Oreochromis niloticus: one gene and its partner. The main gene of each other region encodes a partner of the protein of the gene in region 2 in a complex. Links are inferred from orthologs where the notes say so. Each region holds a gene or a part of one and is shown on either strand. Other genes may lie near its edges.

The links.
Region 1: ubl4a (region 2) and get4 share a complex: the UniProt entries of both Homo sapiens proteins name them as parts of the BAG6/BAT3 complex. The link is inferred for Oreochromis niloticus from reciprocal best matches to the Homo sapiens genes UBL4A and GET4.

Annotation. Positions count from the first base shown.
Region 1 is NC_031973.2:22,245,228-22,256,669, forward strand, and holds the start of get4 (Golgi to ER traffic protein 4 homolog), read right to left. Parts: upstream 5,235-11,442; 5' UTR 5,138-5,234; coding exon 4,998-5,137; intron 4,058-4,997; coding exon 3,979-4,057; intron 3,651-3,978; coding exon 3,569-3,650; intron 3,203-3,568; coding exon 3,053-3,202; intron 1,531-3,052; coding exon 1,392-1,530; intron 1-1,391. Other genes in the region: GTPase IMAP family member 7-like, read right to left, coding at 6,814-7,592, 8,333-8,383, 8,614-8,664, 8,751-8,801, 8,928-8,978, 10,203-10,280, 10,859-10,898. UniProt on the Homo sapiens protein: As part of a cytosolic protein quality control complex, the BAG6/BAT3 complex, maintains misfolded and hydrophobic patches-containing proteins in a soluble state and participates in their proper delivery to the endoplasmic reticulum or alternatively can promote their sorting to the proteasome where they undergo degradation.
Region 2 is NC_031977.2:13,689,215-13,699,878, reverse strand, and holds ubl4a (ubiquitin-like protein 4A), read left to right. Parts: upstream 1-5,393; 5' UTR 5,394-5,556; coding exon 5,557-5,604; intron 5,605-7,341; coding exon 7,342-7,447; intron 7,448-7,553; coding exon 7,554-7,792; intron 7,793-8,643; coding exon 8,644-8,751; 3' UTR 8,752-9,267; downstream 9,268-10,664. Other genes in the region: prkg1l (cGMP-dependent protein kinase 1), read right to left, coding at 51-116, 262-356, 535-612, 735-855, 1,016-1,121, 2,445-2,558, 2,931-3,097, 3,307-3,421 and 1 more; si:dkey-32e23.4 (dynamin-1-like protein), read left to right, coding at 10,043-10,144. UniProt on the Homo sapiens protein: As part of a cytosolic protein quality control complex, the BAG6/BAT3 complex, maintains misfolded and hydrophobic patches-containing proteins in a soluble state and participates in their proper delivery to the endoplasmic reticulum or alternatively can promote their sorting to the proteasome where they undergo degradation.

The DNA of each region.
Region 1 (11,442 bases), on a different chromosome or scaffold from region 2:
CTGGCATTTAGCTGGTTCAACAAAACCTAAATCCCCAGTTTATAACAGGGATCACTAGCACTGTCATCAAATTTCTCTGTTAAGGTGGGATTTCTGTTTCAGACTCTGTGCTTGGTCACTCACATAAAAATGCATGTCATGTGACTCTTCTGCACAAAAAGATTCCTATGAGCGCCACCTACTCCAATCAGAAACATTAGAAAACCACAGATTAATTGCCCTCTAACCTAATAACTGGTTGTGTTACCTTTGGCAGCAAGACCTGCAATCACGCATTTGTCATAACCGCCTGTTTAGTGTCATGCCAAACATCTCAATCAGATTTAAGTCTGAACTTTGACTAGGCCACTCCAAAACCGTGATTTCATTGAGTTATTTATTCATTTATGTTTAACCATTCAGAGATGGGATGCATAAGTGTACTTGAGCTTCAAGTCATGAACTGATGTTCGGACATTCTCCTTCAGGAGAAAGCAGAATTCATGGTGCCATCAGTTACAGCAAGTCATGCAGGTGCCAAAGCAGCTCCAGACCATCACACTACCACCACCATGTCTGACTGTTGGTATGAACTTTTTATGAAATGCTGTCTTAGTTTTACCACAGAATATTTCCTAAAAGATGTTTTTTTTTTTTTTCTCTTGGAAAATGTGAGACTTTGTGTTCTATTTGGCCTCCTTGGAGCTCTCCCATGGAGGCCCTCTTTGCCCAGTCTCTGTCTTATTGTTGAATCATGACAATAACTGAGCTAAGTGAGGCCTGCAGTTCCGGGTTCCTTTTTGACCTGATCTTCAATGCGCTCTTGGACTGATTTGGGTAGGCCAGCCACTCCTAGGAAGGTTCACTACTGTTGCAAGTTTTCTCCATTTATGGATAATGGCTCTGACTGGCTCACTGGAGTCCCAAAGCCTTAGAAATGACTATCCAAGCCTTTCCACGCTGATAACTGTCAATGACTTTGTTTCTCAGCTGTTCTTGAGTTTCTGTAGATCACTGCATGTTGACATCTTTTAGCCTGCTTCACTTTGTCAAACAGTTTCTATTTAAGTGATGTCTTGATCGAAGAGATCAGGCCGGGATTTAGCTAATGAAGTCAAACTCAGCTTTCCAAAAAAGTAGCTAATGACAGTTAATGATTTAAGAAATGGGGGGCAATAAGTTTTTAACATATGGTCAGCTAGGTTTGGATGGCTGTTCTTTCCCCCATAATAAATGAAATCATCATGTTTTATTAACTCTGGTTATCTTTGTTTGCTGGTCTCAAACATGTAAGTCTGATACAAAGAAGAATACAAGAAGAAAAAAAAAAAAACCCCACACAGCTAAATTTGGCTCCCTCCCCCTTTCTAAATTTTGCATCCAAGAATGTGACAAGGTGACAGTTCACTTACTGTAGGACGGCCTGCGCCACAAACATGTCAACCTCACTGCGGAAGCCTCGTGATGCTGAATACTCCACCAACATGTGTGCACAGCCCTCCCCGTCAGAGGAATGCAGGAAGTGATAACGAGACTCACTGTAGTTTTGCTCTGACGATTTAAAAGAAAAAAATACAACAACACCTTAATTTCCAAGACGGCAACATCAGGACAGTAATGACATAGCAAGCACAACAAAACAACGTTACCAGGAAAGACACCAAACAGGATGTCATTTTACAAAGAAGATGTCATGCAAGCATAATTAGTCAAGACGGACTGATACAAGGAGCAAATGCCCTGTGTTTCTAGAATAAGGACACACTATGACCTTGTGACATGACACTATGTTTTAACACATACAAAGCTACTGAATTTTAAACCCAGTTTCAAAAAGTCGAAACACTGTGTATAATATAAATAAAAAGAAAATGCAGGGATGTTCATAAACCCACAAACTTTTATTTAAAATAGAATATCCATTGTTTGAAATGAAAAAAAAATGCACCATTATTTTAAAAGATTAGTTCATTTTGAATTTGATGGCAGCTAAAATGTCTCAAAAGTGTTTTAAAGACATTGGATGTCTTTAAAACATTTAAACTGCTGATCAGTACATTTGTTGCCCCCTTTTCAACAAAAATGTTGGAACGGGGGCAACAAAAGGCTGGAAATGCAAGTGGCACAAAAAGAAACGGTGAGAGGAATATTTTCTAAACTAACTGGCAAGCGGTCAGTAACATGATTGGGTTTAAAAAAGGGCATCTTAGAGAAGCAGAGTAAAGTATGTAAAGATGGGCAGAGTTTTACCAATCTGCAAAAACAGTCTACAACTTTCGTAACAATTTCTTCAGTGTAAAGCTGTGAACACCTTGAATATCTCATCTAGCTGTACAGATTTTAGAGCAACATATGCTCCCATCTGGATGTCTTTTACATCGAAGGCCTTGCATATCTCAGTGAGACAACGCCAAACTGCAGCTACTACTACTACATGGCTTCTTAGTAGAAGAAGATGTAGGTGGTGAACTGTCCTGCCTGCAGTACACTACACTCTCACCAACTGAAAACATTTAGTGCTTCATGAAGCAAAAATTTAGCAACAGTCAGGACTATTAAGCAGCTGGAATCCTCTATAAGACAAGAATGGGACCCTTTTGCTAACATTCTTCTCCCAAGAGTCAAAGAACTGCTCTCCTCAGCTCGAGGAGGCCTGTTGGAGATGTGTTGCTGCCATCAAATTCAAAATGAGCTAATATTTTTCTTAAAATGGTTCCTCTCAGTTTAAACAGTTGATACATTTTCTATGTTCTATTGTAAATAACATATGTACTTGTGTGATTTGTGAATCATTGCATTCTGATTTTATTTACATTTCACACAGAGCCCCAACATTTTTGGAATAGGGTGTTGTGTGTATTCTCTGAGTATTCTAGACATCATACACACCCACAATTAAATCTAGTGTGTATGTGCATCGAAACATTTTGTACTTTGCAGTCATGGGTTCACTGTTAATAATCAATATATCTAACAAACTATCAGTAAAACCGATGGCGTCTACTGATATCTTAATACGTACATTCAAAAACGTTCTACTCTGCGCTACATAATCAACATGATCAACTTTTACCTTTCCACAAAGTGACAGCAAGCAGCTGGTGTAGTTTTGGATGACCCAACTTGCCAGACCCTCCTGTGGACCATTTCAAGGCTCTGGAAACAAATGCTACTCTCTCTGGAGAGTTCTGGTCCATCTGGCTGAAGAGTTTAGCCAGACATTCTTAAAAAAAAAAAAAAAAAAAAGTCAGAGAAGTATAAATGAAATGCCCTGTTGTGCAGACTTCTTTGACTATCATGAGGATTTATTACTACATCATTTACGAGCAATTATACACACAGATAGAGAAGTGAGATGAAGCTGATGAGTACAGTAGTCAAGGCCAATCAATTATTTATTATATGACGTACAAATCCACAGTTCAGCTACTGCAGCAGTTAATGTTCAGGATATGTTTGATAAACTGCACATATTCTATATCTGATTTTTGTTTGGTAATATTTATTTCAATAGAAAAAAAAAAAAATGTATTTACCACTATTTACAAGTCTTGTAGATGAACTTTAAAAGACAAAGTCTTGCACCCACCTAATATTTCATCTTCAACTTTTGTCTCAGATTTTTCCAAAACCTCCAGCACCAGCATGGACAGATCTGCTGCGCTGTTTTGCTGCAAACCAAAAGAATAGAATAGAATAATCCTTTAATTGTCCCACAAGGGGAAATTTGGTTGTAACAGCAGCCAGAAAGACACGTATACAAACAAACAGTACACAGGACACAGAACAGAAACATACAATTTTTCTTACATATTTACATTACGGACATTGGTTACTATAAACACAGCAAGTGTATTTTTTTTTTTTTTAATCTACACCGTCAGGAACTGTCTGGAACTTGGGTTAATGATCTACGTTAAAATATTATAATTACACAAAACAAGTCAATTATTACAGCCAAAATAATTTGCTTTCTAACAAACTCAGTGCTGCATGTACCTGGTTGTAGCTGAAGAAGAGCAGAGCTCCGTTATACATCAGCTCCCTGGCCTCCGCATGCTTCCCCTGTGACATGTACCTGATGCAAGACAGAGTATCAGTATTACACAAGAGATGACATTATCTGTTTCCAAGGGACACGAGCTCAGTCCTGCTTCCCTTCTTTTTCACAGCAGGTATCAATGAAGGAAGACAATGTTTTAGACTCCCTTTATTTCCAGGTGTTAACACTTCAATGATGAAAACCAATGAATGAGCAGGCCAACACACACAACTGTGAGAGAAAGAACGTTTTCAAACTGCATTCAAATAGGTTTATATCACCTTTTTTCTTTTTTTTTAATTAAAAGCTGGTGGTACGCAGCTAACCAGTATTGCACCTTGACTAATAATTTTATTGCACTAAACAGAGCTCAGATGTCTTAGTGTTGGAGCAGGGAGTTGAGACTGATCTTTTATGACAAAGACTGGAACACCCAACAAACGCTTAGGCTTATTCAGGTTTCTAAATGGATTGGCTGTGAATGAAGACACTTTTGCTAAGCGATAGCACGTCCAGCCATCACGGTCCAGACCGCGACGGTGCAGAATGTTGCTAACTGGCTAACTCAGCCGGACATCTTCAACTAACAAGTTTTCGCAACGTCGTCAGTTACTAAAATAGTCAGCCGCTAGATTCGGTTATGTACGAATAAATAGACTTTCAAGTAACACACAAAAGCAGAATATCTGTGGTAGGCATTGTCCGGGTAGCTAACTACACTTCAGCCATCAAAAGCAAACACATAGCTGGCTAACTAGCATTAGTTAGCAGTCCCGTTTTCAGACTAGATGGAAAACGCGACCGTCCAAACAAACACAAGAATCACGAAGAGTGGGCAGGCCCGCCGTGAAAGCAGACCAATCACAGACAGTCAGGTGTAAAAGCATGGTTGACAGCAGAATGATCTGGAACAGGCAGGCCTCGAAGCCAAATGGCAATTATAACCGAATGAACAAACGTAAAAACGAAGTCTCACCTAAAAAATAAAGTCCTGTACATCTGATGTGCTTCATAATAATCCCCCTTTTCTACGCTGGCTCGCAGTTTTCCTTCCACCCTCTGTACGCCTCCACGGTTTCTGGCACTGGAGCACCTCAGAGACTCCTGCTCCGACATCGTTGCTCCGTAGCAGCAGCAGCACACCCAGCGACTGTTGACAGGGTGAACCCGGAAAGCTTTAAACTTAATGGACCCTCGTCGCTTGCCGTAGCCGGTGTATCGCAGTAGGTGTAATAATCATGGAAGCATGAAAACTTTTGAAACCTTTTTTTAACCAGCAGATGATGCTTGAGGCAACACGATGACGAGGTTAATTGTAAGGAAAATAAAACAAAAAAATAAAAACATGGTTAAAAAAAAAAGAGATTCACCGTTTTTTGGCATATATTATTAAATGACTGGATAGTAAGTAACATATTTGCATCCTGACTTTAATTAATTAATTACTGTTAATTACTATAACAGATTGAGTTATCTAGATTTGGAGAAAAACTTAAAAACGGGATTTATAGTGAAGAATAAATAAATCATAGTTTTGTAGTGTGGCACAGATGCTAAATATGTGTCCCATCCCATCTGGTGAACTTATTGTCATTCATTAGCTAGCTGTAAAGCCAGCTTTCTGATATGTGTTATGCTTACAGACTGTAATGTTACTGTTCTTCTAGTGTCTGTAGAAAGCTATATGAGAAACATTACTAATCAGGAAAGATCAGAGAGAAAGACTTAACAGATAGACAGAACATTTCTATAGATATTTGCTGTAATTACAACAACAAGAGGATCATTTCATATTTCCGAACAGCTGAAGTTACTTGTATCTGTTACTCAACTTTTTTTTTTTTTAACAGTCAAAAACGCGTCTTAATAGACTTGAATCTGGAATAAATCTGGAACCTGAAAATAGACGAGGTGCAGATGTCCAGGTGCCTCTCAGACCTTGTAAACTACAAAATACCTAAACATTATTATGGGCTTTAATCCTATGTCCTTATATCCTGTAACAACTTTTTCTTGTTGTGGTTTTGAGCCTATAGCAATATTAGTACTAATGGAATTTATTTAGCCAGATGACATTTGGCATACTTGGTGACTCTGACTGTAGTTTTTGGGAGTAAAAGTATAACAGCACATAGTGTATTGAATACTTGATGTAACTAACTCTGCTTCACTATTCTTATATTCATTATCATCATTTTGGCTACATTATCAAGAGAAGTTTGTGGAAAAATTTACTTATCAAAGCTAGGTAACCACAGTTGACTGACAGCCATACATTTGAAAAATTTAAGTGATTGTTGTTTCAGATGAGTATATTTAAGAGCACATTTATTTGTTATCTATAAGTGACAGACAAGTTAGTTCTTTTAAATTATTATATATTTTTTGTAGGTTTTGTAGTTTTTTTCCCCACTTAAATTATTGGAAGAAGAATGAAAAGCAGAAGTAAATTTAATAAAAATATTCATTTATAAAATGCTGATTCTGTAAACAGTGACTTTTATGCATCACAGGTAGACAAATTCATCATCTACAGCTACAGCTAAATATTTGGGCCATATAATCAACAATGCGTTCTTTGCTGAGAAAAGTAAACAGTAAACATTTAAGCATTTAGTAGCTGTAAACAGCCATCTGGAGAACACAAAAAATATATTTTTAAACAATCTAGGGTATGTTGGAAACTATAATACATACCACTGTCCACTACTGAACAGTGGCAAACACTTCCACCTCCACCATCTTTCCAACTTGTTGCACATACTGCCCTTTCTTCTTCTCTTCTTCTCTCTCTACATATATCCCAGTCTTTTAGCCAGTGCAGAGGTCATATCAGCCAGCAGCACCTCCCTCATGTGGTCTTCTCTTCTCTGTAGCTCGTGGACAAAATGCCCCTTCAGCTCCATTACCTCCATCACACGCTCCACCAGCTGCCTGCGTGTAACACTTCTTTCCTCTGCGGGGCGGTCGGGCCTGTTATCCACCAGCTCAGGCCTCTGGCCACACAGTGCCACAGCGCTTTTCAGATTTCCAGCATCTGCATCAAGCAGCTGATCTAAAGTGTTCCTTCGACCCAGACGGTCTGCATGAGTGAGCACTGGGATAATGTACCTCTTGACTTCCACACCGAACAGTTCCATTGTGGCTTGGACTGCTTGGGCAGCATCCTGCTCAGCCCCCTTGGTGAAGCCTGGAGTACGCATCACCATTAAAAAGGCATGTGGTCCGGGACTGGCGAGCTGGACACTCCTCAGAACTTCCAGTGCTCTCTCTCTGTTCCCTAGTGACGTCCCCAAAAGATCTGGGGTCTGAATTACTATAAGTTCTCTACCATCTATAAAAGCCCTTTGCACGGTACTCTCCTTTAGAGGAACCCTTTTGGTGCTTCTCTCATTGTTGTTCATTAAAGTATCTGCTAGGGAAGTCCGTCCTCCACCAGGAAGCCCCAGGAGGACCAGCCTGAGACCTGGTTTCTTGGGAATGCTGCCGCCAGAGGGATCAAGCATTTGGTTCAGTAAGCTGCTAATGACTGGATCACTCTGTGAGTCCAAAGAGCCGTCTCTGGATGAATCTACAGAGATAATACAATATTATTTTAGAATTTTAAAAAGCCTTATGGGGTAAAGCTGTGATTCTAAATCAAAATGAGCTCAATCTGATGATCTAAAATTTCATTTTTTTCATTTTCTCAGTTGGGAAATTTATAAGAAGAGTCTTAGGAACTTGTGTGGAATAACAATATTTGCTGCTGAAAACAATACAATACATGCCAAAGATGGTGATTCAGGAAAAGAACCTCATACCAACTGCAAAAATGCCGTGGTTAGAGGGCACATCGCTGCCTCACTTACATACAGTCAGTGACATAAGAATGAATTTGTGTCACATCAGTGATCGCTTTAGGCCAGTTTGAGAGATAGTGTAAGACCATTTGTCTGAAAGCTGAGACTGAGCTGAAAGTGGACCTTGTGCTTAGGATAATGATCCTGAACAGATTTGCAAGTACAACAAGAAATATATCTCAGAAAGATGAATCACTCCATAATCCTTATAATGCAAAACAGGCATTATAAGGATGCAAGAACCTGAAATATCCTGAAACTGAAGGAGTTTTGAATGAGAGTTCTTAAACATACCAGAAAGCCAATAATTATGGAAAACCCTCTCATGAGGTTGTTTCTGAGACCATTGATCGTTTTGTGAGACAAATCCCATAAAAGCACAAAAACAAACTACAAAAAATGAACAAATACATATTGATATATAGAGTATGTAGCTAAATATAGCTAATAAAAATGACAACAAACTGACTGTTGATGGCTTTGATGACAGCAGCGATCCACTTGAATCTTGAGGAAAATGCTGAGGAAGCAAGCAGATAGAAATTTACATTAGGGTTGTAATAACTCACATGTATCACAGAAACAGGTGTGATGCCTTCACATTTTAAACTGCTGTCCCATGTCTGCTTGCACTGCTGGGTCATGTCCTCTGATAGCCACTCAGATTCTAAACGTTTTCTTTTTCACTCTCTATTTGCAACACGCAGTGAAGAGAAAACGAAATCCAACAAAGATACAAGAAATACTTACTGGCTAAAAAGCGCCAAATCCGAGACAGCCACTTAAACAAGGTCTGGAGTACTGAGACACGAGACATGGAGTGGAAAAGTCAGCTCCAGTTTAACAGATTTTGTTTTAAATGGTAAAATGGGGGATGTGCTTTATACCTCGGAGGGTTCCCACAAGCCGGCTTATCCACCCCCAAAGAGCTGACAGACCTGAAGGGAAAAGAAATAATCAGTGTGCATGAATTAACTTTCATTTTGTTTCAATTAAGTTTCATTTTGCTGGTTTTGTCCTGAAACTTGGAAGTCAAAGTGATGTATTAGCTTAGATAAACTCACCAGTTAAAGAACAAAAGAGACGAATCGGCCATCGAATCAGAGCTGGGAGAGCTGCAGGGAAGTGAGGCTAGAATGAGTATCACAGAGTGTCATAATAATAGGGAGACTTGCTGATTCATTTTCTATAATGAACATGTATTTATTCATATGCCATAACTGTAGGATCCATACTGCCCCCTTTTATTTGTTTCTTTTGGATTTACTATAGTCAAACTCTACATTCAATCAGCTGATACAGGACAAGAGACAAACTGTAAACATGAGCAAGAGATGAATAGTAACTAATAATAAAATGTTGAGTGGTGTATGAACACACAGAGAGAAAACAGCTGATTAAAGACAAAACACTCATTGAATCATAGGAAGTCTGCAGCATCCTAAGCATATTGCTGCATAACTAAGATGATTCGGTGTATCTTTTGTCCTGTCTCCCTCTCTGAGCCTGGTTCTGATGGAGGTTGCTTCCTGTTAAAAGGGAGTTTTTCCTCCCCGATGTTGCCAAATGCTTGCTCATAAGGGGTTGTCCGATTGTTGAGGTTTTCTCTATTATTGTCAGAAAATGCCTTGAGATTACTGTTGTGATTTGGTGCTATATAAATAAAACTTAGTTGAGTTGAATTTAACTGAATTGAATTAAATTGAACGGGGCCTGATTATTCATGATCTTCATGCGAAGAGAAGGATTTTAAATTTGATTATGCATTTAACTGGCAGCCAGTAAAGAGAAGCCAATATAGGAGAAATATGCTCTCTCTTTCTAGTCTCTGTCCCATTTTGGATCATTTAAGTGTTCAGATGACAGGTTATTGATTCGGTTTGAAGATTTAGACTAGTGTGTCATATGTTTGCGGTATGTTACTCGAAATTACCCCCTCCACCCCCCTTATCTCCTGTCTTTCGATAACTTGGCCCTCACACCCTGTCAGGTCTGGCATGATAACCAGTCAGATAATAATGTGAGATCTAAAATAAAAGATCTAAAAAATAAATAAATAAAAGAAAACAACTAACAAAAGGAGCCTATAGACTGTCTACAGCACTCCTCTTGGCAATGCAAATGTGTTTGGCACAACAAAGCAGACCATGATTCTGTTTGCTAAAAGTGCTGGACAGGAGAAGTTTAAAAGAAAAAGAAATGGAAAAAAAGACTAGTAAGATTTATAAACATCTGTTTACTACCTGAAAATAGTTCACTATTACAGATTCATTATTTATTTTCTAGACGCAGTAAAAGTCATTAAACAGTAGAAGTGTGGGTGTTGCTGTGTGACTGACTCTGTGAGAACCTGTAGAGAAGATACCCCACCACGGTAAAAAGTCCCATCTGGACACTGTTGGTGTTCATCCACCAGCCTATCAAGGAGAAGGCAGGGAGGCAAACATGACATTAGCGGTGCAGAGCTGTTCACAACTTAGCATCAGTTTAGCCTTTCACCCACATTTAGAGAAAAAAAAATAGAAATGAAATCCCCTGAAGGATCCCAAGAAAGCTGTGTTTGTAAAGACAGTGTTTTATGTGTGGTGAGTCTGCAGGCATCAGCTTTTACATTTAGAGCTGCTGCTTTTATTTTTAATTGCTGGCATCACAACAGAATGAATATTTCAATAGCAGGAAACAGTGTGTCTGGTTCTTTAACATTGTTTGCGTAGTTTTTGTTATAAATGACTTGTAAGAAAAAGACCAAACCTGTCACATGGTTTTTGATTGTTTACACTTATTTTTAAGACTTAACTTGGCTGTAACCTTTAAAGACTGCAAACTACAACGCCTGAACTCAACACTTTACATGTAACATACATTTTCCAGCAATAAAGATGCGTCATCAGAATATGATATTTAAAAAATAGGCCAATAAATTAAAAAACAAAACATGTCAGTAGCATATTTTTTGTGTGTAAAGGTTTATTTTTTTTATGTATATTTTGCCTACCTGCATCCTCAGGGGTGTTTTTCTCACACTGACACTCCATGTCTCAGCAGATGGGAACGCTGTAGTTGGTGTCAAGGTAAGAAGAACAGGCAGCACCACTTCTGCTCAGAGCTAACACGGGTTAAACAAGCTGCTTGAAAACGCTGCAATGTTTATGTAATTTTCCTAGAGTGTTCAGTTATAACAAGGAATAAAAACTCATCTGACAAAAAAAGGAAAGGGTTCTGATTAACAGGTGTCTAGACTACAAGACAGAGCTGAAAAACCAAACATAACATAATGTTGTTAAGTCCTTTTTGAGCTTTATCAACAGCAAAATGCTCATGAAGAGCTTTTACCTGATGTATAGCCAGATAATCTCCCTCCAAGAGTGACATCAGCTTTCAGACTGCCAGTACAACTCACATGGGGTTACAACTCTGATTTCTTCTTCCTGCTTTTGCGCACAAGTATTAGCCGGCGCAGGCCTGCCCTCAACAGTACTTCTTTTGTTATGTCGGCAAAACAAATCAATGACGAGGCCTAGGAATGCTGATCACGTGGTTTTACCTGGGACACACCTTTTTCTGTGCTACAAGAAGAAC
Region 2 (10,664 bases):
ATTAAGCACATTTTCAAATCAGAGAGCAGTGTGACAGCTGAATCACTTACTCTCTGTCTATTACCAGGCACGTAACTTCTCCAGCAGCTATCACACTCACAGTCCGAATGTCCTCTCTGAAGACAAGCAAGTATTACAAAATAAAACTATCAATAAGACTATCAATATACATATATATATATATATATGAATGTGCTTTTTCATTATATGTGCAGAAATTTCTTTACAGCATCATCTGAAGGAGCTTTTTTTCCTTCTTACCCCCACAGAGCCTTTTCTCCAAACCACTGTCTCTCAGAGAGCTTAGAAAGAACTACCTGTTCTTCCTGCTCTTGCCCCTTTTCAGTCACTTTCACCTGTCAAATGTAATGAAAAAAGAGGTAATGGTGATGAGCGCAACGCACCAAAGTAAATTATCACCATCATAAAGTCATTTCCGCCACTGCTTTGACATTTCTGTCATCCAGGCTGTAAATCTTTTCCTCAGAAAGCCCCCCTTGATCTGCGCAGCAGGATGAGAGCAGAAAACTTTACCTGGCCTTTGCTGATGATATAAAAAGTGTCTCCTGTGGCCCCTTGTCGAATGATGTAGTCGCCGTCGGCGTAATGTGTCTGTGGAAGACAAATGAAAACCGACAGCGGTGTGACCAGTGGAAAAACATCAATAAAACAAAGAAGGGTTCATCCAGAGAGCTTTCCTTGCACTTATACAGGCACTGCATGTAAACATTCACCTCATCCATTAGCTGGATACACCAGTGTGCTTCACAGTTAAATAACTTCAAGTGTACCTCTTCCATGAGATCCGACATTTTCATGAGGACATCTGCTGGGAGCGACTGGAGGAAGGGAATGCTGCACACAGATACAAACAAAAAGCACTGGATATCATCCGCAATAGCTCATGTAGGTGCATGAGGACAATGAGCAGATACCGTGCTCAGAGGTAAAAGCCTACATGGCCCATCAAAGCAGCTTTTTGGAGCTGCTTCATGTGCATCAGTCTGATTTTCACCTGCTAAGAAGCTCCACTGAATGGGAAAGGTGCTTGAGACCACTCTGCATGAGTATGGTCTGGTAGCTGTTGCGATCCACAACCCACAGCCTGCTGTCCGTTCGTGCTGCAGATCAAAAGACAGAGACAGAGGAAGACGCTGTGTCAGTGACAGACGAGTGAAAGCACTATCGAGACTCACGCTGCCTGTGATGGATGTGGACGTGCAGCCAGTAAGTAGGCCAGGATTTCATTAGAAATGCTTACCGTGTATCGTAAAAACTAAAAATACTTGTTTTCCTCACAGAGGTCAGTAGATATCAATCAAATCTAATTTCCTTCAGCCATCATCACCATCTTTCTTTGTAATAGAGCTTGAAAGAGAGTGTCGTTAATTAATAATGACCAGTATTGATTGATTCACTGAACCTTCCTGCAAACGGAAGACGACGTCCCCTCCAGACAGTCTAATAAGATCGAGCATCTGATTATTGCGGTGCAGTCCTTATCTCAGTTCCCCGTTTTTGGATACAAACCAAACTTTGTCGCTTTACCATCGTATGACACACGGCGTACAGCCATTGGTCCTTAATTCAATCTCCTACGCCAGGTATGATGGGAAGAAAAGTAATTTCAGGTCAGGAAGGAGATAAATGCAACAGGCCTTAAATGGATTGAAAAAAAGAGGGTACATGGAACAAGGGGGAGCAGCGAGTTTTGTTACCAGAGAGCAGACAAATGTAGAACAGTGAATTGGAAAGGCTGCCTGGTTACAGGATAACGAAAGGAGTTTTTAAAAAAAGGGGAGGAATGGGATGCTTTTGGGACCAAACAAGACAAAACAGACAGATTTTTCAATTTAAACTGATCCGGCCATTTTCACAGCCTATTTATTTGTGAAACCAGGTCAGACACACGCAGCCACGACTGAAAAGGTTTTCCCACAGGACTCTGTGATCGGATCCTCAAAGGAAATGATAGCACAGTTTCTGCTTTTAAGAGGGAAAAAAAATCATGTTTTTACACCAGAAAAGCACAGATGAGAGGTTGTAACGCAGCGGTCATTGAATCGAGATCGTTTACAAGAAGATTATTTTTAAATGTTTGCAAGATGCTGAGATGCTGGATTGTAGGGAGGAGATGTGGCGCTTCAGGCAGCCGTGTTAAGCGGAAAAAGCCGAGGATGCTTTAAATTCCTCACATCCGTTAGAAAGCCATGCGAAGCTGTTGTAAGATCTCAGAGGGTCTTTTGATTTTGAATTCAACAGGCATCTTTTGTCCGAGGCCACAGCCAGAAATCTTACCGCTTGCGAAATTCGCTTAAACTAGAATTATTTATATCCTCGCCGAATCAAAGTTAATCACAGAGAAATTCTTCAGGTTGACAGCTCTCCTGTGACATCTGAGCGCAATTATAAAATAAGGAAGCCGATGCAAAGCTTTGATTTACCTGACACAGAGTAGGTGTGGGTGCAGTTGTAAAGGAGCGCTAGCTCTCCAAACAAGTCTTCTGGTTCAACTGTGAGCAGCTTCAGTCCATCTTTCATCATTTCCAGCCTCCCTTCTGCGAATAAACAAACACTGGGTGAAGGACGACGCAGAGAAATGCGTTTTATGTCAGATAATGTACAGACTGAGAGAGATGTACAGCACAAACAACAGAAAGGCAAGGAGACCGGAGATAAACAGCCGCTCCGTCTCCTCGGGCTCAAGCTGACATTTCAACCCAAACTAGAAATGTGTTGCTCCACATGCTGTCACTTTATTGCACTTCTATTTGCTTCTATTTATCAGTACAAAAATTTTAATATAAAGATATGATCAAGCTCATCATTTAATCAGTCTGTCCTTAAGCATCTGACATCTCAAGGAAGCCTTAATAAATATCCTCGTGTGTGATTAATAGCGGCCATTGCAAGAGGAAAAAAGGATTTACCTTCCAAAACGTAAGCCTGAGCCCCAGCGGTCCCCTCCTGAATAACATAGCAGCCTTGATTGATGGTGGTGGAATGCATGCAGGCGATGATGGCTCTGATTTCTCCTTCATCAAGGTGCTTCAGCAAGTCGTTTCTCAGAAATGATGCCCGAATCAGCCTCTGGGACCTGAGGACATGAGGAAACGATATGAAATTTGCACGTGAGGATGAGTTATTAAACAGTGTCAAATACTTGAGCGTCTGACAATGAATAAAAAAAAAGCATTGGTTCATCATGAGTCATGCAGTCAGCAGTCAGTGAGCCTTGAACATGCATGAGTGTGATTTTTCAATCTGAGCAGGTGTAGCTCTGAAGGGAACACTGTGTGCTCTTACTCGTGGCTTTTGTCACAGCTTCTCTGTGAAACCAAGGCGAGAGTCACTGGGTCCAGAGTGAGGGGCTCACAAATCACCGTCTGCCTTCTGGGTCTCTTGTTGTCATCAGTTTGACCTGAGGTAGAAGCAAAAAAATAAAGAATAAAAAAGTCAAGGAAATCAAATAGAACTCTATATCAGTCCTAATAAGCTCTGCAATTATTAAAACAGCACAAAACTGCCTACATGCACTGACTGCAGAGGCTCCTGGGAGGGAGACAGTGGTTCTGTAGCGGTCTAGTTCTTCCTGCAGCCTCCGGATGAGTTCATCCTTCGTGTCCAGCTCAAGCTCCAGCTCATCTATCAGCGTGTCCCTCTGGCGAAGCTCCTCAATCTTTAGTTGCAAGGCAAACTGGAGGTCCCGAAGTGTACCCATCACCTGCAAACACTAGCAGACTTCATCTATGCTTTTGACAAAGAGCCATCCATAGAGTATATACATTCCTACAGCTGCTATGCAGCGTGGATCTATCTACAACAAACTTGACCTCTGTATGATTTTGATCTACACCTCTCTTTATTATTTAGCTAATCTGTCCAGGTGTAATGGCTTCTACCTGGATAAGAGCATAGATCCACCTGTTTTGGGCTTCTTGTACATTTTCACACCTATACGAGTGTTCATATGTTTACGAGCACATTAATGTTCACTGCAAATGAGTCACAGGTAAGGTATAGCCCCACATTGCAAGCATTAGCTCTAGTCTGTTGTTCTGCATCTCTATACATAATTCAAGCCACATTAAGAGAAAATACAAAGAAAGTAGAAATGAAATGCTTACACAGTAAATGTTAGTACAAACTTCCTACTGAGTCCCACACAAAAGTCCTAACAGGAATAAAAACATGAAAATAACATTGGATTTTCCATGTGACTGTTAGGCGTGGCTGATGCTTTCACGATGATTTTTTCTGTTTTTTTAATCTTTGCTGATTTTAGCTGTCATGTTTCTAATTGACTGTCTGTTAGCACAGATGAGGCTGTATCCGCAAACTGTATTAATGCTGTGCGATATTTCACACCATAAACAAACAAACAAACAAATGAACACAAACATCACTTACCACACGCAGCCTGTATGGCGTTATGGGGTCTATTTCACCGGCGTGTTTTGGCCTGGTTTGGCTGCAGACTGTTCACTCGACAGGTGCACATCCCGTCTGTAAGTGCCCAGCTGAAGGATGCTCTTCTTTCTTGCTCGCGGCTGGCCGGGGCTGGGCACAGACAGCAGGCAATCACATGACCCACACGGTGGAAACCATGCGGGGAGGGTGAGATGAGAAACGTGTGGATCGGATCCCATCTGGGTCACGGGGTCCTCAGGGTGTTCCGGAGCCTTGGGAGTAGGTGGGGATCCGGCAAACTGTGCAATGCATGTTAATGATTGTATGCCCAACCGATCATGAAGCAGGTTAAAGGCTGGCCGTGTGCACCGATCAAAGATTTATTCGTTTTCTCTCCATAGCAGCTGTGCAGCCATCCAAATATAATTTTACCTTATATCATGTTTTTTTTTCTCTCAGTAAAAGGCTTGATATGTATTTGATGTAGGTGCGTAAAGTAACAAAATAAATGTTCCTCTGCAATTGGACGGCAAGTGGTTTTCCGATAACAACAGTTTCAAACTACATGTGATGATAAGTTATGGTAACAGCTCTATAATGTTGCAATAATGTTAGCCATTAATAGGAAAATCAGTAATAAGTTACTGCGTTCATCACGACACTAGTAAAAACACGCTAGAGCCATGCAGCGTTAGTCCACTTTATTTAAACACAATTTCCGTGCGTGTTATTTAAACACACACAAAAATGAAAAAATGAAGAAAAAAAACTAGCCCTAGTGTACCATTGTTGATAATATTACTAATAGCCGCGTTATAAGTCAAATCTGTAAGCCTTTTTTTGAGTTTTCCCATCCTTTTTTTTCCTTTTAATATTCAACTGCGGCATAATTAGGAGAAAATAAATGGATTATTCTTTGTTTTTGTTGTTATGACACTTTCCTCTGAGGGCTGGCGTAGCTGCCATGCCACACTCCGGCCAGCGCGCGGCGGTAGTGGGATGCGGGAGAAGAAAATGGGCCGTTGGCAAGCAAAGAATCGCGAGCTGATAAAGTAGCTGTACTGTGAAGCAGCACACTCCGAGACGTTTTGTTACTTCATCTTTATTGTTGTGTAATTTTTTTGTTTTTTTAAAGCATATTCAAAAATGATCCTCACGGTGAAACCGCTTCAAGGAAAAGAGTGCAGCGTACAGGTGAGTGAAGTACCGCTGCGCTAGCTCACCGCCTCATGCTAACTGCGATAGCAGCTAGTAGTTTAGTCGGGCCAGCATTGGCATGTCACATGCCGAGCTACCTTCAGAAAAACGGCCACACATATGTTTCTTTTAAAATAATAAAATAGCCTGTCAAAAATACTGGGATTCAGTGCTACACACTGTAGCCTAAACTAGTCGGTTGTATGGGCATGTCTCCGCAGAGTCATTAATTTGGCTGGCGTGCTAGCTAAATCCTGGATAAGATGTTGCATACAATCTTCCCTGACAACAGCTGACTAGTAGCATTTGAAGTCGGTCTTTGTGGTTTCGGGGAAAGAAAAAAAAGGGAAGTCCTATCTGAGGGAAACAGCTTTTGGTGCAGTAAGACCAATATAGCTGTCAGTTAGCCTTAGCCACAGTCTGTCTCTCACAAAGCTAATTTTTTTTTAAATATTATAAAGCACAAACTGGACCTTTACTTGGAGACATAAGCAAAGGCCCCTGAATTAAAGAGAATATTAGCGTGTGGCAGCCACTATTTTAACATGACCAGGTTTTAAGGAAATATGCAGGCAGTCAAAAGCATTTTATTACGTGGGGAAGTATTTCCCCAAGTGGGGAAGTATTTCTAAAATCGTTTAAAAATTCTGTGTTCAGCAGAGAAGTGGTTCCATGCACAACATCTGTGCCATAACAGTGATTACAGCCATTTCGTTTAAAATGTTAGCAAGAGTACACTTTTTTTTTTTTTTTTTGAGAAATGGGGCTCTACAAATGCCAGTACAAACCGGGAATGTCACTTGTACATATATTTAACATTAATATCTGGATAATGTAAAGGTAGGAGTTATTTGAGAAAGATTTTTAAATGATAACTTAATTTATCAAGGAACAAACTTTCCAAAGCTCACCCAGTGTGAAAAAGGAATTGCCCCCTAAACCGAATAATTGGTTGTGCCACACCTGGCAGCAAGAACTGCAATCAAACTGGCAATGTGACTTTCATGTTGCTGTGGAGGGAATCTTGGTCCACTGTCCTTTACAATATTGTCCTAACTCAGCCTCATTGCAGGGTTTTCCAGTTTCAGTGTACTGTTAAAAGTCATCCCGAAATATTTTAATTGAATTTAAGTCTGGACTTTGACAAGGGAACTCTAAAACTTTTATGTTAGTTATTGAGCCATTCAAGGGCAGATTGCTGCTGTGTTTTTGGTCACTATCCTGTTGCATAACCCAAGGGCATTTGAGTGTTAGAGGACAAACTAGTGGCTCCTGAAGGATGGAGCAGAATTCATGGTTCCATGAATTACAGGAAGTCTTCCAGGTCCCGAAACAGCAAAGCAGCCCTACACCATCACACTACCTCCACTGTGTTTGACTGCTGGTGTGATGTTCTTTTTATGAAATGCTGTTAGTTTTACACCAGATGTAACACAGAACTCAAACTCTTCAAAAAGTCCAGATTTTTCTTGTCAGTCTAAAAAATATTTCCAAAAGGTTCTGGGGATCATCAAGATGCTTTTTGGCAAATGTGAGACAGGCCTTTGTGTGTGTGCGTGTGTGTGTTGTTTTGTTCCAAATATGCCAAAAAACAAGAAATCAAGAATAGGGCAATTACTCTTTTACAGCACTGTGTGCTGTGTAATTTAAACACTGTTCAGCTGCACAGACAGAAAACAGTGTCATGCTCTTAAATTACACATGTACTACATGATTGGGTTGTTTTTCTTCCAGGTGACTGAAGACGAAAAGGTCTCCACAGTGAAGGAGCTTGTGTCTGAACGTCTCAACATACCAGCAAACCAGCAACGGTTACTCTACAAAGGGAAAGCTCTCGCAGGTAGATGTGCCAACAGCGACATGTTTGATGGCAGCATTTGTTAATACTTTTATGCATGCGTCATATGTAAATTTTTAATGCAACACATTGTAACACTCTCCCTCAGATGAACACAGACTGAGTGATTACTCTATTGGTCCTGAGGCTAAATTGAATCTGGTAATCCGTCCCATGGGAGAGAGGACTGCAGCTTCAGGAACAGCAGCACCAGGCGGTGGTGGTAGCTGTAGCAGCACCAGCAGCGGAAGCAGCACACATGGAGGAGTGTGGCAGACCGTCTCCACTATACTTGCTAGACACTTTAGTCCGGCAGATGCAGCAAAAGTTCATGAACAGCTTATTAAGGTATTTAAATGCAGCGTCATTTTTTTTTTTTTTTCTTCAGACAAGTTGACAGGTGCGGATATTTAATAAATCTAAAATATTAAAGTTGAAAGGGCCAGTTATTGATGATTTATGAACATGTAGTGCTAATGGTGAGATACTGATTTAATTTCTGGAAATCTATTATTAATAATTACTACAATATTTGTATAATGCTTTTATCTTTTAATGAGAACTGTTTTTACTGTAGAAAGTGGGTGTACTGACAGCTCTTGAGTTTGTTAGTTGTTCAGCTCCTATCCATCCAACTGTGCTCACTAATTAGAAGCTACATTCAGCTGCTCCCTCATTCACGAGGCGTTGCCACAGCAGGTAGCTCTGCATGCCTTCCCAACGCAACCCCAAAGGGATTCATGTCTCCTCCTTTCGCTTGTTAGGCAAATATGTAAACCACTAAACTATGGAGCCACTAATTATGCTGGGCTAAATAATTAATTGAACAACCCAGACCAGTAGTAGCCAGACGTGTGTGTGTGTGTATTTGAAGGGTTGGGGGGGGGATGAAGCAAAATCTGGTTTGGCCTTTTGCTGCCAAATTCTGTTGTTATCCTGAAATTGTTGAATTATTTGCGTGCAAACAGCATTACAAAACAAACTGCCAAAAGTGCAAATTAGCTTACCTCCACTTACGTCCACACTTTTTGGACTTAACAAACTCCTTTTAAAAGCAACAAAAATGTTTCTGAAGGTCATGCCTCCAGTCCTCCATGCATTATTTCTCAGCCAGAACGTGTTGTAAATAAATGAACTGAAATGTTTTTAACCTGCTGTTTTTCAATATGTTTTTTTTTTGCTTTCTTTCTTTTCTCAAGGACTATGAACGTTCCCTTCGACAGCTTAGCCTCGATGACATTGAGCGCTTAGCGGGGAGGTTGCTTCATCCGGAGGGCGAGGGCATGGACACCTCATACATGGACTAAGAATGCATAGCTTGAAGCTGATTTTTTCCGATTGTTGTTTGAGAGACGCTCAGTGCTTTGAGATGCATACGGTGTTTAGAGTGTTAGGCTGTGGAAAATACAATGCCATTTTTCTTACAGAGAGCCCCAGGGTGAGCATGGATAACACTGACTGTTTGTCTCAGCAATAGGGCTTTCTTATCTTGGATGAGAAAACTTGGCATCTTGGAATTGGCCCTTGTCATTGGTGGCACAGTAACCTCGACCTGATCACATAATGTCTGAATACAAAGGAGTCCATTTATGAAGCTATCTTCACATGATCTCTGGCTGCTACCATTTCCAGGGGACACTAACTTCTAATGGAGGGTATTTATTAGTAATATTTGGGTTGCGTGATGACCGGGTGTTTCCTGTTATAACCATCTGTGCAGTTCATACATGTTTTATTCTGTAACTTACTGATGACCATTGTATGATTTGTAAATATCATGTTTATATATACAGATATTAAAACACAGGTAGAAAAAAAAAAAACTATCTTTCCGCTTTTGTTGTGTGCTTTTTAAGTGTCAGAATATACAAATGTATAAGCGGTGTGGTTTGATTTGAGGTTTCACAAGGCGGGACTTTACATATCAACCAATCAGATGTTAGGAAACCTCGTGACTCAAATTTCTGACCAATTGGATTGACTGAGTAATACGGTTCCGCCTTTGTGATCAACTGACGGTCTGTATCTTTATACTGCTAATTTTGGATGCCATTTCGGGTGGAATGAAGGGTTAATGCGTTATTTTAATACAAACTATGAAGAACAGGAAACTTGGATAGGAAGGAATATATCTTGAACATTGGTGAGGTCAGCATCGGGTATCGTTTCTTTAGCAGCTAAGCGAGTGTAAGCAGTTAGCTAGCTTATCCCTTTCACTTCCTCCCTTTACCGAATAGATTTAGCAAGCTATGGTTAGCACATAACATCGAGTGTCTCGGCTTGTGCTGTCACCATTTGTTGCACTGTTAGTCAGACCTGGTTTCATCCCAGTAGTTGACAACTCGTAACCAGTGTTCATCTTAAAATGCCACTTCAAACTGGTGTTTAACCTGGGAGGATTGAACGTGGTGTTACACCCCTCTCATCAGGACCACTTCTCCGTCTGACGAAGCTATTCCGTTTTTTCTCGGAGGCTAACTGTTTTGAAGTGGACTGCATTACTTTTATCTTTGCTTCCTTATTTGTGTGTGTGTGTGTGTGTGTTTAATTTATTCATTTTTAAACCAATGTAGCAACAGTGTCCGGTCTGTTGGAAGGATGGAAACTCTCATTCCCACCATCAACCGGTTGCAGGAGGTCTTTCTAACACTGGGGGCGGAGATCATACAGTTACCTCAGATAGTCGTGGTTGGATCTCAGGTGGGCTAGGACACATCTAAAGTACTGTGCAAAAGTCTGAGCTACCCATGACTTCGTTATATTTTGTTTCCAAGCAGCCAGGCTTTCTTCTAATTTTTAAAGTAGTCCTGAACAATAGTTCTCCAGGTTTTCTGAAGCTCTATCAAAGTTCTTCTTTGGAAACTGGCTACTTTTTTCACTCCTTTTCAGTCGAGTCCTTGTACCTGACCATTTTTACAGAAATGTTTTGTTCATTAAGCTAATTTGTTTATTCACTAACTCAAATCCTGAGAAACATAGCAGACAGCTAACTTACAGAACCTGTTTTAAGTTGCATCTTAGGGCATCTTGTTAGTGAAAATAATTTATTCCCGTTTTTTTATCTGTGAAAAATGCCAAAGATAACAGTGTGACAGAAAGTTCCCAAAAGAGCTGAAAACTTTGCATACATAAAAAAAAAAAAAAAAAACTATCTACAGCAGATGAACAGTATCTGAAAGTCATGTCCTTAAGAAATAGGAAAAAATCCATCAAAGACCTG